Mus musculus: one gene and its partners. The protein of the gene in region 5 purifies or fractionates together with the protein of the main gene of each other region. This does not show direct contact. Links are inferred from orthologs where the notes say so. Each region holds a gene or a part of one and is shown on either strand. Other genes may lie near its edges.

Evidence for each region.
Region 1: the proteins of Tcof1 (region 5) and Arrb2 purify together in Homo sapiens (affinity purification with western blotting; 4 studies listed by BioGRID and IntAct, with this or other methods). This does not show direct contact. The link is inferred for Mus musculus from reciprocal best matches to the Homo sapiens genes TCOF1 and ARRB2.
Region 2: the proteins of Tcof1 (region 5) and Arrb1 purify together in Homo sapiens (affinity purification with western blotting; 5 studies listed by BioGRID and IntAct, with this or other methods). This does not show direct contact. The link is inferred for Mus musculus from reciprocal best matches to the Homo sapiens genes TCOF1 and ARRB1.
Region 3: the proteins of Tcof1 (region 5) and Nolc1 purify together in Homo sapiens (affinity purification with western blotting; 4 studies listed by BioGRID and IntAct, with this or other methods). This does not show direct contact. The link is inferred for Mus musculus from reciprocal best matches to the Homo sapiens genes TCOF1 and NOLC1.
Region 4: the proteins of Tcof1 (region 5) and Csnk2a2 purify together in Homo sapiens (affinity purification with mass spectrometry; 3 studies listed by BioGRID and IntAct, with this or other methods). This does not show direct contact. The link is inferred for Mus musculus from reciprocal best matches to the Homo sapiens genes TCOF1 and CSNK2A2.

Annotation. Positions count from the first base shown.
Region 1 is NC_000077.6:70,435,567-70,438,453, forward strand, and holds part of Arrb2 (beta-arrestin-2), read left to right. Parts: coding exon 1-6; intron 7-596; coding exon 597-657; intron 658-764; coding exon 765-809; intron 810-994; coding exon 995-1,191; intron 1,192-1,302; coding exon 1,303-1,362; intron 1,363-1,743; coding exon 1,744-1,811; intron 1,812-2,004; coding exon 2,005-2,143; intron 2,144-2,377; coding exon 2,378-2,462; intron 2,463-2,688; exon of another isoform or gene 2,689-2,752; coding exon 2,753-2,825; intron 2,826-2,887. UniProt on the Homo sapiens protein: Functions in regulating agonist-mediated G-protein coupled receptor (GPCR) signaling by mediating both receptor desensitization and resensitization processes.
Region 2 is NC_000073.6:99,534,053-99,538,285, reverse strand, and holds the start of Arrb1 (beta-arrestin-1), read right to left. Parts: upstream 2,801-4,233; 5' UTR 2,508-2,800; coding exon 2,488-2,507; intron 1-2,487. UniProt on the Homo sapiens protein: Functions in regulating agonist-mediated G-protein coupled receptor (GPCR) signaling by mediating both receptor desensitization and resensitization processes.
Region 3 is NC_000085.6:46,074,586-46,078,649, reverse strand, and holds the start of Nolc1 (nucleolar and coiled-body phosphoprotein 1), read right to left. Parts: upstream 2,804-4,064; 5' UTR 2,621-2,803; coding exon 2,501-2,620; intron 1-2,500. UniProt on the Homo sapiens protein: Nucleolar protein that acts as a regulator of RNA polymerase I by connecting RNA polymerase I with enzymes responsible for ribosomal processing and modification.
Region 4 is NC_000074.6:95,486,008-95,490,219, reverse strand, and holds the start of Csnk2a2 (casein kinase II subunit alpha'), read left to right. Parts: upstream 1-1,399; 5' UTR 1,400-1,772; coding exon 1,773-1,876; exon of another isoform or gene 1,877-2,018; intron 2,019-2,059; exon of another isoform or gene 2,060-2,543; coding exon 2,544-2,655; intron 2,656-4,212.
Region 5 is NC_000084.6:60,824,958-60,828,470, forward strand, and holds part of Tcof1 (treacle protein), read right to left. Parts: coding exon 3,408-3,513; intron 2,491-3,407; coding exon of another isoform or gene 2,383-2,490; intron 1-2,382.

The DNA of each region.
Region 1 (2,887 bases), on a different chromosome or scaffold from region 5:
TGCAAGGTGAGTCCCCCTCGATGCTTACCCTTTGATCCTCCCTGGGCCCGATCAAAGCCCTCGATGATCCCCAAGCCTTTGCTCCCCACTTCCTGTGACAGCTAAAAGCAGACTGACTTCCTTCCCTCCTTAAGCCCCTTGCCGCAGTCTGAAGAAGCCACAGGGCTGGGTGGGGTCTGGGTTCCTAAGCAAGCTTGTAACTCTCTTAGAAACCAACCCAGGGTGCCTGAGCTAGGAATAGTTAATAGTTTCCCAGGCTGTGGGCTGTTTATCTCAGAGCCCTTTGTGGGGACAGCTGCTACCTGCCTGGTCTGGCTGAGTGTTCCCTGAAGACATAGAAACACACATAAACACACACTTATGTGTACCGACCCTCCGTGGGTGGGCAGAGGTGTGGAAAGCAGGTAAAAGCTTAAACGAAAGTTTTACTAAGTTGTCTGGAAAACTCTACCAATCTCACCTTCCAGTCATACTGGGAGACAATCCTTCCTGATAACCCACCCAAGGGGAGCCCAGAACAGGACACCCACCTTTGAGAACTCTGGTGGCTTGCCACCATCCTCCCCAATTTCCCCTGTGACCCTTGACCTCCTCAGCTCACCGTGTACTTGGGCAAGCGCGACTTTGTAGATCACCTGGACAAAGTGGACCCTGTGGGTAAGTTTGCCTAGATGGCACCAACACATCACCCCTGCAAGAGGGGAGGTGATTCCTGGGTCTGGGAGTGGCCCCCTTCAGAAAATGAATCCATCTCTCTTTCCTAGATGGCGTGGTGCTTGTGGATCCTGACTACTTGAAGGACCGGAAAGGTACTACATGTATGCTGGAGGGGAGAAGACAACATTAGATGGGCTGACATTGATAAGAGAGGAAAGGAAGGCAGCATCAGAGGCAGGGAATAGGATTCCGGGAAGTCTGTTATGCCGAAGAAGGATGTGGGTGCCGTGAAGAAAGGGGCTTCTCCTAATCACCCTGACTCACCCTTACTTGTCAGTGTTCGTGACCCTCACCTGTGCCTTCCGCTATGGCCGAGAAGACCTGGATGTACTGGGCCTGTCTTTCCGCAAAGATCTGTTCATCGCCACCTACCAGGCCTTCCCCCCCATGCCCAACCCACCTCGGCCCCCCACCCGCCTACAGGACCGACTGCTGAAGAAGTTGGGCCAACACGCCCACCCCTTCTTTTTCACGGTGAGGATGCTCTCCATTTCCCGCAGGGCTTGGGGTCTGGGGCTCTTTGGGATTGACATGGGATGAGGCACCTGTTACCAGTTGAAACGCCTCCTTTTTCCTCTGCCACAGATACCCCAAAATTTGCCTTGCTCCGTCACACTGCAGCCAGGACCAGAGGACACAGGGAAGGTACGGGAGGGACGACTCTCACAATATGTGAATAGAACCAGGCTCAGCTAGATACACAAAGCACAGCTGAGCTGGAGGGTGAAGTGTAGGGGGCTCCTGAGGACAGGGTGGTATCCCCAGGGAGGTGTGTGGTCACTGAATCTGTTCTCTGACCTGCATGTACCTGGCTGGGTATGGGGTCTCCTCTGTGCACTGCCATGAGCCAGCCTCTGCCAGATGCCAGGCTAGAGAGAGAGACAGTGGGGCAAGAGAGTTCCTCTGTTTCCATGATGAGGCAAAAAATCCACACCAACAGGAATGAAGCAAGGAGGAAGGAGGGGGTGTGTTGGATGTGGTACCGGGAGCCTTGGGTAAGAGGTGGCCTTTCCTCCTCTTCCCAAGGCTTGTGGAGTAGACTTTGAGATTCGAGCTTTCTGTGCCAAATCAATAGAAGAAAAAAGTCACAAGAGGTAAGAGAAACAGCTCTCTCACTCACTCTCTCTCTCTTTCTGTCTCTCTCTCTCTCTCTCTCTCTCTCTCTCTCTGGTTTAACGGCTCCCACCCAGCCTCACAGCGCCCCAGACCCCAGTGGGAGGTAGGAATCTGAATTGGCTTGTGGTATCTTGAATCTAAGTCTTTCCCCTCCTCCAACCCCTGACTCAGGAACTCTGTGCGGCTTATCATCAGAAAGGTACAGTTTGCTCCTGAGACACCCGGTCCCCAGCCCTCAGCTGAAACCACACGCCACTTCCTCATGTCTGACCGGAGGTCCCTCCACCTAGAGGCTTCCCTGGACAAAGAGGTGAGGTGTGAGAGGGTGACAAAGATGTCACAAAGCAGGCCAGACTCCTGGGAGGAGGGGTGAAGCCACAGGCAAGATGGTGATTTGGGAGGCTTTTTGTTGTTTTTTTTTTTCTTAAGGCTATTGCCTTACTTGGGTAGAGGTACTGTGGGTAGGAGTTGGGGGTGGAGCAGGCCAGTGGGGTCAGTAAAAAAAAAAACAGGTACAAGCGATGCAATCTCTTCTCTTCAAAAGCTGTACTACCACGGGGAGCCCCTTAATGTCAACGTCCATGTCACCAACAATTCTGCCAAGACCGTCAAGAAGATCAGAGTGTCTGGTAGGAGGTGGGGGTGGGCATGGGGATAGGGAAGGAAGTCCCTACTTAGAAAGGCTGCTGCTGCCATGTCAGCCCAGGCCGTGTCGCAGTGTGGGAAACCTACCGGGCCATAAAGAATTGAGTCTGTTCCAGAAGAGATACATGGCCCTAGTGTTTACTATAGTAGGTCTGTTGGCCAGGGGTGGAAGGTGGAGGTGTGCTGCCCCCATGGGGTTTCCACCATGTGGTCGGGGGTTGTGGTGCCGAATTGTCTGTGTCACCCAAAGCCACTTGGTCCCCTGCCCCCACAGTGAGACAGTACGCCGACATTTGCCTCTTCAGCACCGCGCAGTACAAGTGTCCCGTGGCTCAGCTAGAACAAGAGTGAGTAAGGGTTAGAGGTGGGACCCAAGCGCCGGTCTTCAGAACCCATCTCACTTCTAAGG
Region 2 (4,233 bases), on a different chromosome or scaffold from region 5:
TCTCCAATGGCCTATGCTCCCTGTGGGATCCCTGTTAGGGTTCCACCTTGGTGCTCGCCTACTCCACCCTGGGACTCCTCTCAACCCAGGTGTTTCTGCAAGTGAACTGCAGTGACAGTTTTGATTAATGTTTATTACCACTTCCTCCAACCGACAGGGATACAGGTGATGACTCCAGAGCCTAAGAGTATTTTAGTCAGTATTTGCAATGTCCCTTCCAATTCACAAAGCAAAAATCTTATGGCTAATGGAACACAATGAAGAAACTCTCTTCTCGAGCTTACCTTTCATATCCAGATAGATCTAGAAAGAGAAAGGCAGAATTCATGGAGCCCAGGGAGGGGAGGCAAAGATGGACAGGTGGGGGTTATGTAGCTAGTCTGTATTTCCTGGCATAGGCAGCTCCTACCTACTCCTATGTCCAGTGAACTCAGTAAGCTTTGGGGAGCATTGAAACCCAAAGTTCTGATTGCTTCAGTGTACAGGTGGGAACACTGGGTCTGCCCTTGAGTTAGGAGCACAGCAGGGGGAGTCAAGGACAAAGCTCTGGCCTCAGACAGACTCTCCAACAGGTGTCTGGAGGCTCACAAGGTCCTCATCCTATGACAATTCAAGGTATCAGGGAGCTGTGACACTTCTCCCCTAGTTACAGAGAGGCCCAGCAAGGCTGAGTCACCCCGGTCACCAGCAGCACTGGAGAACAAAGAAGAATCCAGTGGCTGCTGACTCCCTGCTGTGCTCTGCAGGGAGCAAAGCTCGACCTTGCAGCGCCAGAGGGTCTCTAAGTGGGGAGGGGGACAGGTGTGGCTGAAGAGAGCCGCATCCTAGCATCCTTCCTCCAATGACTGAGGCCTAGGTCACAGTGTTGACCAACCAGTTACGGTGGCCCTCAAGGTTAATGCAAACACCTCATAGCTCTCTGCAGTCTCCCAAAACTGTGTCTCTGCACCAAGTGGGTCCCTTGCTAGTCCTTACACCCAGGGTGCACACAGTGCAGCTCCAAGGAGAGCCACAGACACAGTGGACCCTGGCCTCTGCCCCCTCCTGACCTTCAGCAAGGCAAGTGACCTTTCTCACCCTTTGGTTCCTCTTTGGGAAACAAGAATAGGAAAATTAACCTCCAGGAAGGGCCATCAGTAGGAAGGCTGGTGGGAGGCAGTTTCTAAACATGAGGTATCTGAGCTACCACTATGCCTCAGTTTCTGCTCCTGGGAAATGGGAATAACCTCTGTAGCTGCTTTCACTCACTGCTGAGGCTCAGCTGTCAGTGGGCAATGAGTCATTTTGTTTAAGGGTCCCAACATGTGACTGCAGGGATGCTTCCTTTCTGATCATCTCTTATGCCCTAGGCTATGCCTAGTATACAACAGGGGCTTAATAAATAAATTAATATCAGAAGAAAGGAGGTAAAGGCAGAGGGAAGGACACAAACAGAAGAGTAATAAGGAAAGCAATGGTAAACGGCAGGTGCAGGGAGGCTAGAGGAGGGGCCAGAGAAGATGGCAAGGAGACTCTCAAGGGCCAGGAAGGTGAACCAGTCTGGTCATAAGGGTTGACCCCACGAGCTTCCCTGCCCCTCCCTAGCCCTCCTACTTTGACCTAGTTTCCATTTCGAGGGCCTAACCTTTCCTCTCAAGGCAAGCTCTACAAAACAGTTCCCGTCACCCTCCCTCAGCTACATGGAGCCCCTAGCTATGTGCTTTGGAGGACAGAGGGGAAGAAAGCCATGTGAATGGGGACCTGCCTTCCAGGTCTCAGAGCCTTCCACTCTGTGACCTGTGTTCCCGGCCCTGCTATGAGGAGTCAGAAGTGAGTGTATCCACTGCTCTGAGGATGTCAGTCCCTGCAGGCATTTTATGCCTTGCATGTGTGTGGTTAGCCTTGATGTGTCACTAAGACCTGTGGCCACATCGTGTCACGTCAGAGAGGGTTGACAGACTGCACGTACTAGCTTAGACCGTGCTTTGCAGCACCCAAGTGCCAGGCTACGTATGTCGGTGTATGCCCGCATGTGTGTAGCAACACGAGGGTGTTGTTAGAGCTGGTGCGTGTTCGAGTGGGACCTGTGTATGCTAACAGGACTGACAGCAAGAATGTGTTGACAGACTGGTGTGTGCGTGAGAGACCGTATGTGACGTCGTCGTGTCACAAATGCGAAGTGTGGCAACGACTGTCAGTGTGTGCCTGCAGAAGGGTGCTCATGTGTTTATGAGCTTGTGTGTTGTGTGTCAGCCTGCCCCAGAGCGTCCTGAAGTCTATCGACCAGGGCTGGGTGTGTGAGCTCGTCTCGGCCAGGAGCCGTGAACCCAATGGGGTGGCCCACCCTGGGTGCCTCGGTACACATGGTTCTGGCCAGAGAACCACACAAGAGACTTGGGAGGACAACAGAGTGCCAGATCCCGGGTGACGCTGACTGGAACCTCCGCCCGTGCCCTCGCCCAGGTCGTCCCCACGCGCGCGTGGGACAGGGCGGCCACCCGCACTCACCGTGTCCCTTTGTCGCCCATGGTCCGCGGCGGCCGCAGGGAGGTCCGCGGCGTCAGCGTCCAGGCTGGAAAATCCCCGGCCGCCAGGAGAAGCGCGGGCCAGCCCGCTCCCGGCTACCCCGCTCCGCCTCCTCCGCTGTCGCCGCCGCCGCCCCCGCCCGGGTCCCCGCCCGTCGCTCGAGCAGCACAGCGCCCAGGCCGCCGCCAGGGGCGTGGAGCGTGCGGGTGTGAGCGCGCGTGTATGCCTCCGTGCGCGGCTCTGCGTGTGCGCGCCCAGAGAGTGAGGGCTGCGTGGCCGGCCGCGGCTGGTCCACGGGAGCGCGTGCACGCAAGCGCGTGCCAGTGCTGGTGCGTGTGCACGGCTGTGCGCGCGAGCCTGTCGGGAGGTGGGGTGTGGAGAGAGAGAGAGAGAGAGAGAGAGAGAGAGAGAGAGTGTGTGTGTGTGTGTGTGTGTGTGTGTGTGTGTGTAGAGGTAGCACGTCTTTGTGCAGTTGTGTATGTGTGCTCACAGTCGTGGGTGCGAGCGCTCTCTCCCGCGCACGCCAGGACTGGCCTTTGTGTCTGCGGATAGAAGCAAGCGGAAAATCCGCAGACTTCAAGGCCCAGCCTCAGAGGCGCCCCTGTGTGAGGACAGCGAAAGATTCCAAAAGCCTAGCCAGGCCTTCGCCCTTTGCTCCACCCTCCCCACCCCCGCCCTTCTGGAGAGATACCACCCAACGACACAACAGGGACAGGAAGAAGGGGTGGGGGCGGGCAGCGGACTGCAATGCTGGAGAGCAGATGAGAGTGGAAAGGGGAGGGGCAGGCAGAAAGAGGAAGCAGTGAGAACAGGAGATAAAGAAGGGACCGAGAGCCAACTAGCTGGTGGCCTGTAGCATCTAGCATCATTGATATAGCACCCAGGCCTAGCTTAGGTGCCTGTAATGACTCTGGACACCACTCAGCCCATTTCAGGTCTATTGGCTGGGTCCTAAGACCAGCAGATGTCCTGTTCAATTGTTGAAGGAATCTGCTTGTTCTTGCGGGCAGACACCTGCACACAGCGGTGTCCAGCAGAGTCTACTGTCTGCAGCTTTCTTGGTATCCTTGGAAACCTTGACTTTCCTTACGTTTCCTACCCCTGGAGAAGTAGCCGGTGTGCAGTGGGAGGGTAGAGTTCAGAGGCTAAGAAGGGGTAGGAAAGGGTTTGAATCCATTTTCTCCTAGAAGGGATCTTGAGGCAGTGGGAGGAATGTAAGGTCCTCAGCCCCTCACTGCTGGAGTTTGACTAATTGGCACTGATAGGTCCCTAATATCGGAGTATTAACGATAGGAAAGGAAGCTATCATTTACTCTGATGCAATTGCGGGGTCTGGAAACATCTCCTGTAATTATGTTCAGAAGCAGTTACCTATGCTGTTTACATAGAGTGTGCTGTTTATAGAATTGGTAATAATATCCCAGGATAATGACTATAATTATGTCCAGATTGGGGAGGGGTGGGTAGAGGCTAATGGACAGGCAGGGTGGTCCACATCTGGGCAATGGTAAGAGCTAAGAGGAAGTGGATTAAGGTCTGTAACTTCACCTGCCCTTTCTTAGCCTCTGGGATCTTCCCTTCCTCCAACCAGGGCAGAGCAGGAAGCCACCTGACCCTTCTGCAGGCCGTTGTGGGGGGCTCTTGAAAGGAGCAGAGTAGGGTTCTCTATTGATAGCAGGAAGCAAACTTTGTGAGCTCAAAATCAAGAGGCCTGGTCTTGTACTCTCC
Region 3 (4,064 bases), on a different chromosome or scaffold from region 5:
CTGTTACTCCTTGATCAAATGTAATCTGTCAGCCAGGCATGGTCCCAGCACTTCAAAGAAAGAGGCTGGCAGATCAGTGAGTTCAAGGCCCACCTGGACTACATACAGAGTTCCAGACAGCCAGGGTTATGTAAAGAGACCTTGTCTCAAAAGTTATGCTATCTCCCTACTTAACTCAAAATGGATGTTACATCTTAAGACTTTTCCTACTTGTATAACTCAGGAGGAAAATATTACGCTTACATATCACCTAACTTTGAGCGTGAAAACTTTATGGTATATCCCTGTGCCTTTCCATATCTTTTAAAGTCTTAGAAATGTTGTACCAATTGATAACAGAGCGTTAGCTGAGGGCTGGAGAGATGGCTAAGTCGCTGAGAGAGCATGTTACTCTCCCAGAGGACCTGAGTTCATTACCAGCACCCAGAACAGGAGACGCAACAGTACCTGTTAACTCCACATACAGAGCTTCTGACATCTCTGGCCTCATAATTTCTAACTATTAACTTTTTTTTTTCTAATTAAATGACTTTTAAAGGCAGAAAGGCAGGGCTAGATAGGTGGCTCAGTGGTTAAGAGCACTGTCTGCTCCTTCAGAAGACCCAGGTTCAACTCCCAGTACTCACATGGCAGCTCTCACACAGACAGACATGCAGGCAAAACACAAATGTGCAGAATAAACTGTAAGCAAACAGAAAGGTGCGAGGTACGGTGGCACGCGCCTTTAACTCTAGCACATGGAAAGGAGAGGCAAGCAGATCGGAGTTTAAGCCAGCTTGGTCTACATAGTGAGTTCAAGGACAGCCAGAACATAGAGACCCTGCCTTAAGGAGGGAGGGAGGGTGCCGAGCAGTGGTGACACACACCTTTAATCCCAGCACTTGGAAGGCAGAGGCAGAGGCAGGCGGATTTCTGAGTTCAAGGCCAGACTGGTCTACTGAGTTCCAGGACAGCCAGGGCTACACAGAGAAACCCTGTCTCGAAAAACCAAAAAAATAAAGTAAAATAGGAGGGAGGGAAGAAGAGGAGAGTAATAATGAGCACTGGCTAGATGGTCCATCAATTCAGAGCACATGGAGTTGGGGGGGGGGGTTGGGGGATGTATTACCAGATCACATGTCAGGCTGTCCCGGCTGAAAGAACTCCCTTATTATGAGACTGACCTGATCTTTCCTTTTGTGGCAAAAATCACCTTTTTGTATTTTGCTACAAAGAAGTAACCTATCTCAAAAGATCTGGTGGCCTATAACCCAAGAGTCCCAGGATCTAAGGCCTACAGCCTTTCAAGGTGTTTCCACGAACACTACAGCTTTTCTTTCATTTTTTTTCCCCCTTATTTATGTGAGTTCATCTTTGCTGTCTTCAGACACACTAGAAGAATGGGCATCTGATCCCATTACAGATGGTTGTGAGCCACCATGTGGTTGGTTGCTGAGAATTGAACTCGGGACCTCTAAAAGAGCAGTCAGTGGTCGTAACTGCTGAGCCGTCTCTCCAGCCCGCTACAGCTTTTCTTAAGGTGCAGAGTAAACATTTTGCTCTTACATAACAGCTGTCACTCACCCCATGTTCCTGTGTGCCTACAATGGAGTTACTACTTTGTGCATTTTTCTCTCAGTGAGTCTCATTCACTCAAAAGCTGTAAATTGGGCTGAGCATGGTGATATACACCTTTAATCCCAGCACTTGGTAGACAGAGACTGAGCTGAGTTCAAGGCCAGTATGGTATACAAAGTGTGCTGCAGGGCAGTAAGGCACTTAGCATGAAGAGGCTGTGACAAGAGGTACAGAAGTTCATATCCATCCTCCACTACACAAGGACTACATGAACTTTGTCTCAAACAAAAGGCTGCTGGGATCATACATGCAGAAAGCCGCAGAGCCTGGCCTAACATCACTACCTGGAGCTCCAAGCTCAGTGCCAACTTAACACAGGCGGACGCTCACTACTCCTAGAGTATACTGAAAGCAACCTATCACCACACTCATTCATTTTTTTCTTTTTAAAAAAATAAGTAAATACAATATGAAGTCCTAGCTATCATTACTTCGCAATTTATCCCTGCACTCACTCATCTTCTTTTGTAAAAACAAACAAGTGTATAAATAGAATCCAAGCCTTCATTACTAAAATCTTTGAGTCTCAGGTAAAACTGCAATTAAGGGTAAGTCCAACAAAAAGTACAGAAGAACCACGCACCGCCAACCCAATGCTCCCGGAGGGATCTAGCGCCACATGTCCTGGGTCACGAGGGACCCATGCCTGTCACCGCTGCAAAAACTCACACCAAGTAAAAGCCGTAATACTCGGAGCTAGCTAGTCAGACATGGTGGAAGGAGACACCGAGACCTCCAGCCTGAGGAAGGTCCGCAGAGAAGCTGGGCAGACAACGGACTGACAGACCCCAGCCCTCGCCTCCTTAACTTCTAAAGCCGACAAGGCCTAGATTAGCTCGGAGAGTCGTCCCACCCCGGCCCGCAGACCAAACCAAGGACTCACAGCGCCGGTCGCTTTTGCAAATTTACTGGCCACCTCCGAGAGTTGGCTATCCCGCAGAAATCTGAGCACAAGGGGATAAAGGTCGCTGGGAACCACGCGGCGCAAGCCGGTATCCGCCATGCTCCGGGTAAAACGCGTCACTACCGTTGCGCACGCGGCACGACTTAAGAACACCAAAGCACAGCCCGGGTCGAGGGCGGGTCCAGTGTCGTCATCAAGTCGCGCGCGGCGCGCAGCGGAAAAGAGTGGCGCACACGAGGTCGCGTACCCTCCACCCGGGAGGAGAGACCCAGACTAAATCTAGAAGTTGCTTCCGGTCCCACACGCGTCATCATCCTGCAGGGGGCGGAGCCCACGAGCCGCCCACTAAGGAGGCGGAGCTTCTACGTCAGATGCCACGCTCCTGTCCGAGGCGGGAAAACTTGCAAATTCCCGCGCATTACCTTTGCTGAATGGGCTTCTTCCTACTGTAGATTTCCAAGCCCTGGCTGCTACTGAGACCTCACAGTACTGAATGGACTAACAATAATGGGTGCACTGGAGAACTCGAGGCTCTTTCAACCCTTCTAGAGGTGTCACCTACTGCTCAAACTCCCACGGACAATGGCTTCCTCCCTCCCTTCACACCCAGTGAAGTCCTTCAGGATACCACCCAGACCCAGACTCAAATCAGAGGATCCTAAAAGTTGTGGTGACAAGGTGTTGGTACCCCACATTGTCTGTCAGTCATAGCTAGGTTACAAGACAGTTATCCTTCCCATCTACAATTCGGAGAACAGGAACACGGGACCATCCCAGGGAAAAGATCAAGAAAAATCCTTTCTTCCTAAAGAAAGAAGTCACAGTGAATTCGGAAAACTTCAGTATCAGCTACTGTCCAGGTCAGGAAGCAATAAAGATGCACTTCCGGTGAATACCTTTCTTTTACTTTCCTCAAAACAGGCGCTCCTTCTAAAAGGACCCGTTATCCTATTTCCCAGAGGTGCTTCTATGCATACACAATCGTTTGTTTGTTTGTTTTGGCTTGTTTTTTTTTTTTCCAAGACAGAAAGGTTTCTCCGTATAGCCCTGGCTGTCCTGGAACTAACTTTGTAGACCAGGCTGGCCTCGAACTTAGAAATCCGTCTGCCTCCCGAGTGCTGGGATTAAAGGCTTGCGCCACCACGCCCGGCCTCAAAATCGTTTTTTTTAAAATACACACACCACCGGGCGGTGGTGGCGTACACCTTTAATCGCAGCACTCGGGAGGCAGAGGCAGGCGGATTTCTGAGTTCGAGGCCAGCCTGGTCTACAAAGTGACTTCCAGGACAGCCAGGGCTACACGGAGAAACCCTGTCTCGGAAAAAAAGAAAAAAAAAAAAAATTCACAAACCAAGATGGTGATCAAAACCAAACTGGTGAGCTTTAATGACACTTAATAGACACTAACCCCAGTTGAGAAAACTTTTATTCTCATAGGTATGGTGGCAAATGATTTTTTTGTTGTTGTTTTGTTTTGTTTTTCCGAGACAGGATTTCTCTGTAGCCCTGGCTGTCCTGGAGCTCACTTTGTAGACCAGGCTGG
Region 4 (4,212 bases), on a different chromosome or scaffold from region 5:
GCATAATATGACCTTCAGGGTCCCCTTTGTAACCAGCATGGTAACCGTGGGCCAAGAGCACTGTGTTGACTGAAGGCCTCCTGCCCGGCAGACACTGAGTGACCTGGTGGTGATCACCCAGCCCTAGTCATGCCTTCACATTGTTTTCACAGGGAGGGGACAGATGGCAAACCAGGAGAGGACTCATGCCAAGCTGTAGTTTTACGAAGGGCATGGAGGAGTCGCTGAGAGAAGTATCAACTTCAGAGAAAGTGGCCTCTAAGGTGAGATTTGAAAAAGAAAGCCAGTCATTTGTGGGGTGGCAGCGGTACCCCGTGGCCAAGCTCAGAGAGAAGAAGAAACTGAAAGACGGGCATGCGCTATTCTCAGGGAAGGAAAGGTGTAGAGTTTAACAACAGCGGGAACATGTAGTGTTTTAATATGGAGCAGTCCTTAGTCTCTGTACAGCTCTGTGAAGTCGGTGCTGGGTTGATGCTACAAAATCTGTAGCACGGAGACGTTGAGTCATTGGTTCAAATCTGCATTCCTTGCAAACTATGGAACCGGGACTTGAACCTCGATAGTTCGGTATGTGAAGAAAGAGGAAACGTGGCCTCATCTAGAAAACAGTGTGTGGGGGGGAGGGAGAGGGGGAGTTTAGAGTCAGAGCAACCTGGGCTGGAAGAAGAGATCCTTGTTGTTAAAGAATATGAACAGGAAAACAAGATAGCCGGGGACCCCAGGACATCAATGAGAGAGAAGACTGTTCAAGAAGTCCTCACTCCCCAGCTCTCCCTCCTCCCAAACAAACAAACAAACAAAATGGATATTTACATTCTCAAAGTATGATCCACAAATTACAGGTTCAATACAAAGGGGGAAAAACCCAGTTAACTTTATGGGGAAACTATCTGGTGGGCTCTGGTTTAAGCAAGTGGCCCAAAGGATGGCTCAGTGGGCTCTCAGGGAGGAATCTGGATGGGGAATTGGGAGGCGAGGGTAGCTTTAGGACTAGTTTGGTTTTCCTCTTGAAGGAAGGGATCTGTGGATGGCAGGGTGGGGTCCAGAGTGGGAAGAGGAGTGAGGAAGGGGGACAGTTTGAGGGGAGGGTTCTTGGGTTTCAAAGAAAGTCAGCTCAGGGCCAATATGGGAGGTCGTGGTGGGTGGACACGAGGTGACTGGACAGTGGAACTATGCTAAGCGCGGCGGCAGTCAAAGGTAGAGACTTCTGGGGGGTGGCCTGCAGTTGGGCAGGCAGCCGGCCACATTGCTTGGAGGGTGGCGAGCTCGCTGAGGGGGCGGGCGCCGGCCATAGTCCCCCCGCACTGTAGGGGGCGCTGTGGGCCGGGGCGGGCCGGGGCTGGGCGGCGGCCGCTCCTGGCGAGTGCGGCCCCTTTTCCGGGTTTCCTCCGCCTCCTCCTCCTCCCTCTTCGCCGCCGCCGCCGCTGCCGCTGCCCCTCTCCCGACCGGTGGCTGCCGCTGCCGCCACCACCGCCTCTGGGGGGCCGCGAGCCGAGCGGAGGCCTCCGCGGAGCACGAACCCCGCCGTCCCTCCGGCAGCCGAAGGCCCCGGGCCGGCTCGGCCGGCGCCTTCCGCGCCCCCCGGCCCGAGCGTCCGTCCGTCCGCCCGCCCCCGCGGGCCCGGCCTGGCGCGGACGCCCGCCGCCGCCGCCGCGCTCCTCCTCTTGCTTGGGCAGCCCGCGGCCCGCCGCTTCCCGTGCCTGCCGCCCCGCGCCCCGCGCCGCGCCGCCGCCGCCCTCGGCGCCCCGCGGCGCCCCCCGGTCCCGCCCGCCATGCCCGGCCCGGCCGCGGGCAGTCGGGCCCGGGTCTACGCCGAGGTGAACAGCCTGAGGAGCCGCGAGTACTGGGACTACGAAGCCCACGTCCCGAGCTGGGGGTAAAGCCGCCGCCGGCCGCCCCACGCGCGAACCGCACCCGCCGGCCGCTCGGCCTCGGGGCTGGCAGGGAGGCCCGGCCCCGGCCGCACGTGTCCCCGGCCTCTCCTGTCCGCCCTGCCTCGGTCCCCGGCTCAGCCGCCGGTGGGGAGAAGCGTGGGGTCGGGGGTGGGGGCGGCCCTTCCTCCTCAGACTTTGGGCTTCCTATGGGTTGGGAAGTCCATGGCTGTCCTCTTGAGCTGTTGAAATCTCTACCTCTTTACTTTCTGAAATGAGGCTGGGTGGGAGGGTCATTTTGAAGAGGGGCAGATTGTCTAGAGCGGGCAGTGCCCCCTGGAAGGTGTGAAATGGGAGGCAGGTGCCGTGGAGCCACGGGCAGGGCACCCCAGTACCACCAGGGGGGATGCTTCCCTTAGTCCCCTTAATGGCTCCTGAGGCCTTGTAGCTGCCCATTCCTCTTCTTGTTAAGAGTCAGTTAGGTTAGGAGCTCTGCAGAGTGAAGGGAGCCAAGCTTCTGTGTGGCTCTCATTTAAGAGAATGAGTTGCTGTGTGATGGTAGGAATACTTCCGAATGCTTGATTAGTTGGAGATGGCGGATGGATGTGTGGTGGACAGAGGCTTGCTTAATCCCAAATCCTGGCATTTATGTATATCTCTTGCCTTTCACAGTAATCAAGATGATTACCAACTGGTTCGAAAACTTGGTCGGGGCAAGTATAGTGAAGTATTTGAGGCCATTAACATCACCAACAATGAGAGGGTGGTTGTAAAAATTCTCAAGGTGAGTGGCCAACGGTGGCATGTAACCTTTCCCCCCACAGGGCAAAAGAACCAGCTATCCCAGAATAAGCATCTCCTACAGGACTCCTACCATGCTTTTCCTTGTGAACTTTTGAGAAAATGTGCGGGCTGGTCTTAATTCTGAGTTTGGTAGGTCAGGAACATTTAAAGTGTGAATTCTGAACTTCTCAAACAAAGCTTGTGAGGGGGGACTGTATCTGATATGGAATAAAGAGGTATTCGCAAGAGAGGAAGGAGTTTGCATGGAGAATCTGTCAACTGTAGGGATTCTAAATCTGTACTCGTTACTCTCTGCTCCCAGTTACTCCAGAAAAAGTCCGGAAAACCCAAAACAAAACAAAACTGGAGTCTGCTCAGAGATAAGTTTAAAGCCAAAAATTCAGGACAATTCCCTCAGTTGATATTTTCATTTCATGTAGCAGTAAAGTTTCAGGTGGGCTGGATATAGCAAGCCAGCCGCTAAGAGATCTGGGGCAACAGAAGAGTACATTCTAGCCCCTGAAATAATAACTGGAACAAAACTTGTCTCTGTGGCAAGACTAGCCCTCTCGCTTTGATAATGATAGGGCTTTTGTTATCACTCAAATGAAGACATGATCTTAATGAGCATGAAGAGTCAGCCAAGTTTCTGTACAGGTGATTGAAGATTCAATAGTGCTTTGTAGGTTGTTCGAGAGGGTGGTTCGTAGGACCTGAGCGGTTCTTCATGGTTGTCAAGTCATTTAAATGCATATGCTTGTCACCTTAGGATCTGGGCAGTTTTTCATGTTGTCAGATCACTTAACATGTATGTGTGTCACTAGTGAAAGAGCACTGGAGAGTGGTAGTGTTTCACCAGATTTTCACAGTGCCCAGTGAACAAAAATGCAGGATTGAAAAGCTTGTGCCTTAGGGCAGTTCTTATTTAATTGTGTAGATTTTAGCGTTGTGTGAATCACCTTTCAAAAAAAATGGCTGCTGCTAATGCTCCTTACCATCCTGGCCTAGTGATGAAGGAGCAGAGTTGCTGCAGAGATGGGTGATGCTATTGCTGCTGCCCAAGACACTGGGGTGAGAAGGAAGGAATGATGGCAGATAGGGAGCTTGGCCCCGCTAAGTATGAGTTGTACATTGGAGGTCTGTAGTTATGGGAGGGGTGTGTTTTAAGCAGAGAAATGTTTCCTTCAGGGAACTTGCTGGAGGAAACCATGCAATTTCATTACTTACATAAACCTGTTTTGAATAGAAGTTACTTCAGACATTTTCATTTTAAGGATAAGCAAAAACAAGCATAGTTGGGAATATCCATGTTCTGTTGCTGCACATTTGGAGGATTGAATTTGCCAAGTCTAAAGCAATTTCAGGGAAATGTCTAAATGTCTGTGCAGTAGCATTTTGGGACTAAGTGCTGTTTGCTGTGGAGTGTTTGGAAGGGAACAGTGCTCAGGTGTGTGTAAGCCCCAGTGTGTTTAAGGAAACATAGGGTTAGTAGTTTCCCATGGTTCTTGTGAGGAACTTCAGAGATGAGTTGCTTGATAGTTTTTCCTCTGCTCTAAAG
Region 5 (3,513 bases):
CTGTGGTGGGTGCTGCGTGTGGTCACCTGGGGAAAGCACAAAGCCCAGCGGGTGTGGGCTGTGCTTTGATCAGAGAGGCAAAGCGGTGGAAGAGGACGCTACCGCCACAGCCACCTGAGCATCTCACCTCCACCCCCCTGGGGTGCTGAGAGCAGATTAGGGGGATACCCTACCTATTTGCAGGAATGATGCTTACAGAAGCAGATTTGGGGCCCTTTTGGGCGGTGCCCACTGCCCGCTGTCTTAGCTGGGCTTCTATCTACTTATTCCAGTTAGTCTGGGGCAGAGAGGGGAGGTGGAGCTCTGTCGAAGGGGACAGTCACCGAGAGCTTCCCTCAAAGCAGCTTTGTGGGGCTAGAGGTGCAGTGCAGTGGAGGGTGTGTCCTCAGCACTGGGACCCCCTGAGGACCCCTCCCCGCCCCCCCCAGAGAGGAGGAAGATGACTATTACCTGGGGGCTCATCCTTCCCCATGAGACTTAGAAACGACACTTTCTGGGGATGCAGCTAGGAGACCTGAGGTTTATAAACCCCAGTCTGACTCGGAGCTGAGGCTGAGGCTCTCAGAGTGGACAAGCACCTCGTCCAGGACGACCAGCAAACTGGTTTCAAGATACAGGACTGGAAGGAAGCGCTCTGGGAGCCAGACCTAACCATGCAAGCCTTGACTTAATTCTAAAATTTAGATTTTTTTTTAACAGGTCCCCTGTTCTCACTCAATAAGGACATAGCCTATGCCTTTGTTTTGGCAAAACAGCAGCTGAAGTAGCCTTTAAAACAATTTAAGGGGGCTGGAGAGATGGCTCGGAGGTTAGAGGACCTGGGTTTGATTCCTAGCATTCACAGAGCACCTCACAACTGTCTGTACCTCTAGTTCCAGAGGGATCTGACACCCTCTTCTCGTCTCCACAGGCACCGGGCAGGCATGTGGTGCACATACATACATACATGCAGGCAAACGCTGATACATTTAATAATAATTTATGTGGGAGGTTACGCATGACTATGTGCGTGACGCAGTACGATACATGGCTACAACAGAATGGATCAGCCATGCCGTCTCGTGCCTGCATTACCTCACATGCCCACTTCTTTCTAACTTGTAGCCACCCCGGGTTCCAGCCAGCCTCAGCTTGAGGCTTACACTCCACACGGCATTACACAGAGCTGCAGGACAGAACCTGGGATCAGAGCTGGCCCAGAGCTGGACTACCCGGCCTTTTCTCCCACGGACAGGCTAATGAAAAACAACCAACCAGACGGGGAGCCCTAGGAAGGACCATCTGCAGCTCTCCATAGAGAAGTGCTTCATAAATGCCCAACAGCGACAGCAATCCCGCGTAGGCTAGCACTCTCCCAGAGGGAAACCACAGCTTCCTGGGCTGTGCCCGTTTCCCTGAATTCCTTCTGGGAACCTAGAAAATTATTGGCTTTGTTTTTTTTCAAAATAGAGACCCCCAGATCTGCAAGACCACTTTAAAGGTTCAATTTTAGCATAATGCTCATTTTAATTGTGCAAGTCTACTCACACAGAGAAAAACCAAGGCAACCTTCCATACTGGCTGTCTGTCCTTTAGGAGTGAGGGAGGTACCTCAGAAAGACTGCAGAGCCAGAGGGCAAAAGCCAAGCCTGGAAGGGGGCTAAAGGGACAGCTGGGCAGGAGAAAGTGCAGACTGCCAGGATTCAAATGTTCTCTGAGCTGCCTCAGAGTCACAGGCCCCTCTCTCCTTCAAATGGAAATACCCTACTCCCTCAGAAAGAGGGCAGTGCTGCCTCTACAAAGGCCTGGGTTCACACAGAGCTTGTACCATCTTGGTGGCTATGTTGGGCTCCTGAAATCAGAGAAGGTGTCCCGGACCTCACCCTTGGGAACAAGGCCAGGCAGGAGTGGGGACCAGCAGACAATGAGCAGGTGCCATAAATTGCATAGGCCTGACCTGGGGTGGGGCCCACAGATTCCAACGAAGGTCGCAAGGGAGGATCTAGAGCCCCAACTGTCCATGGGGACCAGAGAGGCTTGGGCAGTAGTGTTCTGGGTTCCTCAAACTTCTTCACGAGAAGATAAGGGGCCTCAACCCTGGCCCCGAACAGGCCGCCAGGACAACGTGCCCGCCTAACAGTGCTCAGGCAGGTGCCTGGGCACCATGACCAACTCCAGTTTACATAAAACATCAGAGTCCTAAAAGGCTCCTGGGCAGCAGAGTGGAGCCAGGGGTGTGAAGCCTGAGGCCCGACCACACCAGGAGTGTATCAGAAGACAGCTAGGAGCTGTGAAGTGCTACCTGCATGTGGTGAGACTATCCCTGTTGGGAAGCTGCACCCTCTCACAGAGAGCGGCAGCCTGGCCCAGCCAGGGGCAGCCTTTAGAGTAGCTACAGCCTACCTGGCCGGAGGGCAGATCCTCATCACTGCTCTCTGAGGACCCTTCTATGCTCTTCTCTGGGGACGCTGGACCTGACGCTTTGCCTCTGGCAGGCTGGGAGATAGCATCCTTTGGAGGGGACAAGACTTGAGTAAGCACGTGACACGGGAGGGTTCCCAGTGAGGGGAAAATGCGGAAGAGTGACACTTCTTAAGCCCTGTTAAGAGCATTCTTCACGGGCCGGGTGGTCCAAAGCCACAGAACTTGTCAATCAGTGAAGAAGAGCTGGTGGTGATGCCAACTTAAGGGAGGCCCAGGGAGGGCTCTATGTCTCCCTGCTCGGGTGGCCTGTGCTCAATCGGCAAGTAGGACTGGGTTTCTCAGGAGAAGCTACAAAATCTCCACTTATATGTGACATTCCCTTTGTTTCTATAAAGCCACGGTCGGCTGAAACTGACAAGGACCAACCATTTTCTTTCTGATCTTGCTGCCACCTCCCTAAGGTGCGACACCAGAGGCCATCACGTACCGATTCTACCAGGCTGCCTGAGCTCAGACTAGAGACTGTCAGCCAGAGCAAGCCCCACTGCTCGCTGCAACCAACCAGGCTGAGAACTGGACAATGGTTTGAGTATGAGACAGCTTCTCTTTCTTTTCCACTCCTTGGGCCTAGGCATCACTGAGCGAGACGGGCCCTTCTTAGACAGAGACTTGCGCCGTAGCCCAAGCTTCCTGGTGACTCTGACAGGGGTGTCTTTGCAGGATAGCTCCAGGTTCCTCAGCAGAACCTGACTCAGCTTGCATGGGACTGCCGTGCCCAGTGCTGCAGAGGCCCCTGCGGAGCTGTAGGAGTACCTAGGATGTCCTATACTAGGATGGCCTTGGTTTGGGACTTACAGCTCATTTCATCCAGGGGCATGGTGGGGAGGACCTGGAGGCAAGGGATCCTGGAGTTAGGACTTCTATCTGTTCTTTCTCCCCTCTGGGGCACGATCTGTTTATGAGCAGAGTTGGTGACGGTGGCTCTCGGGCCTGGCAGAGCTCACCTGGGCTGATGGCATCTCTGTGTCACTGTCAGACTCTTCACTACTGCTGTCTGAGTCCTCTGTCTTCCCTGGCTGGGCCTGGGTAGCTGAAGATCCCGTCTTGCCG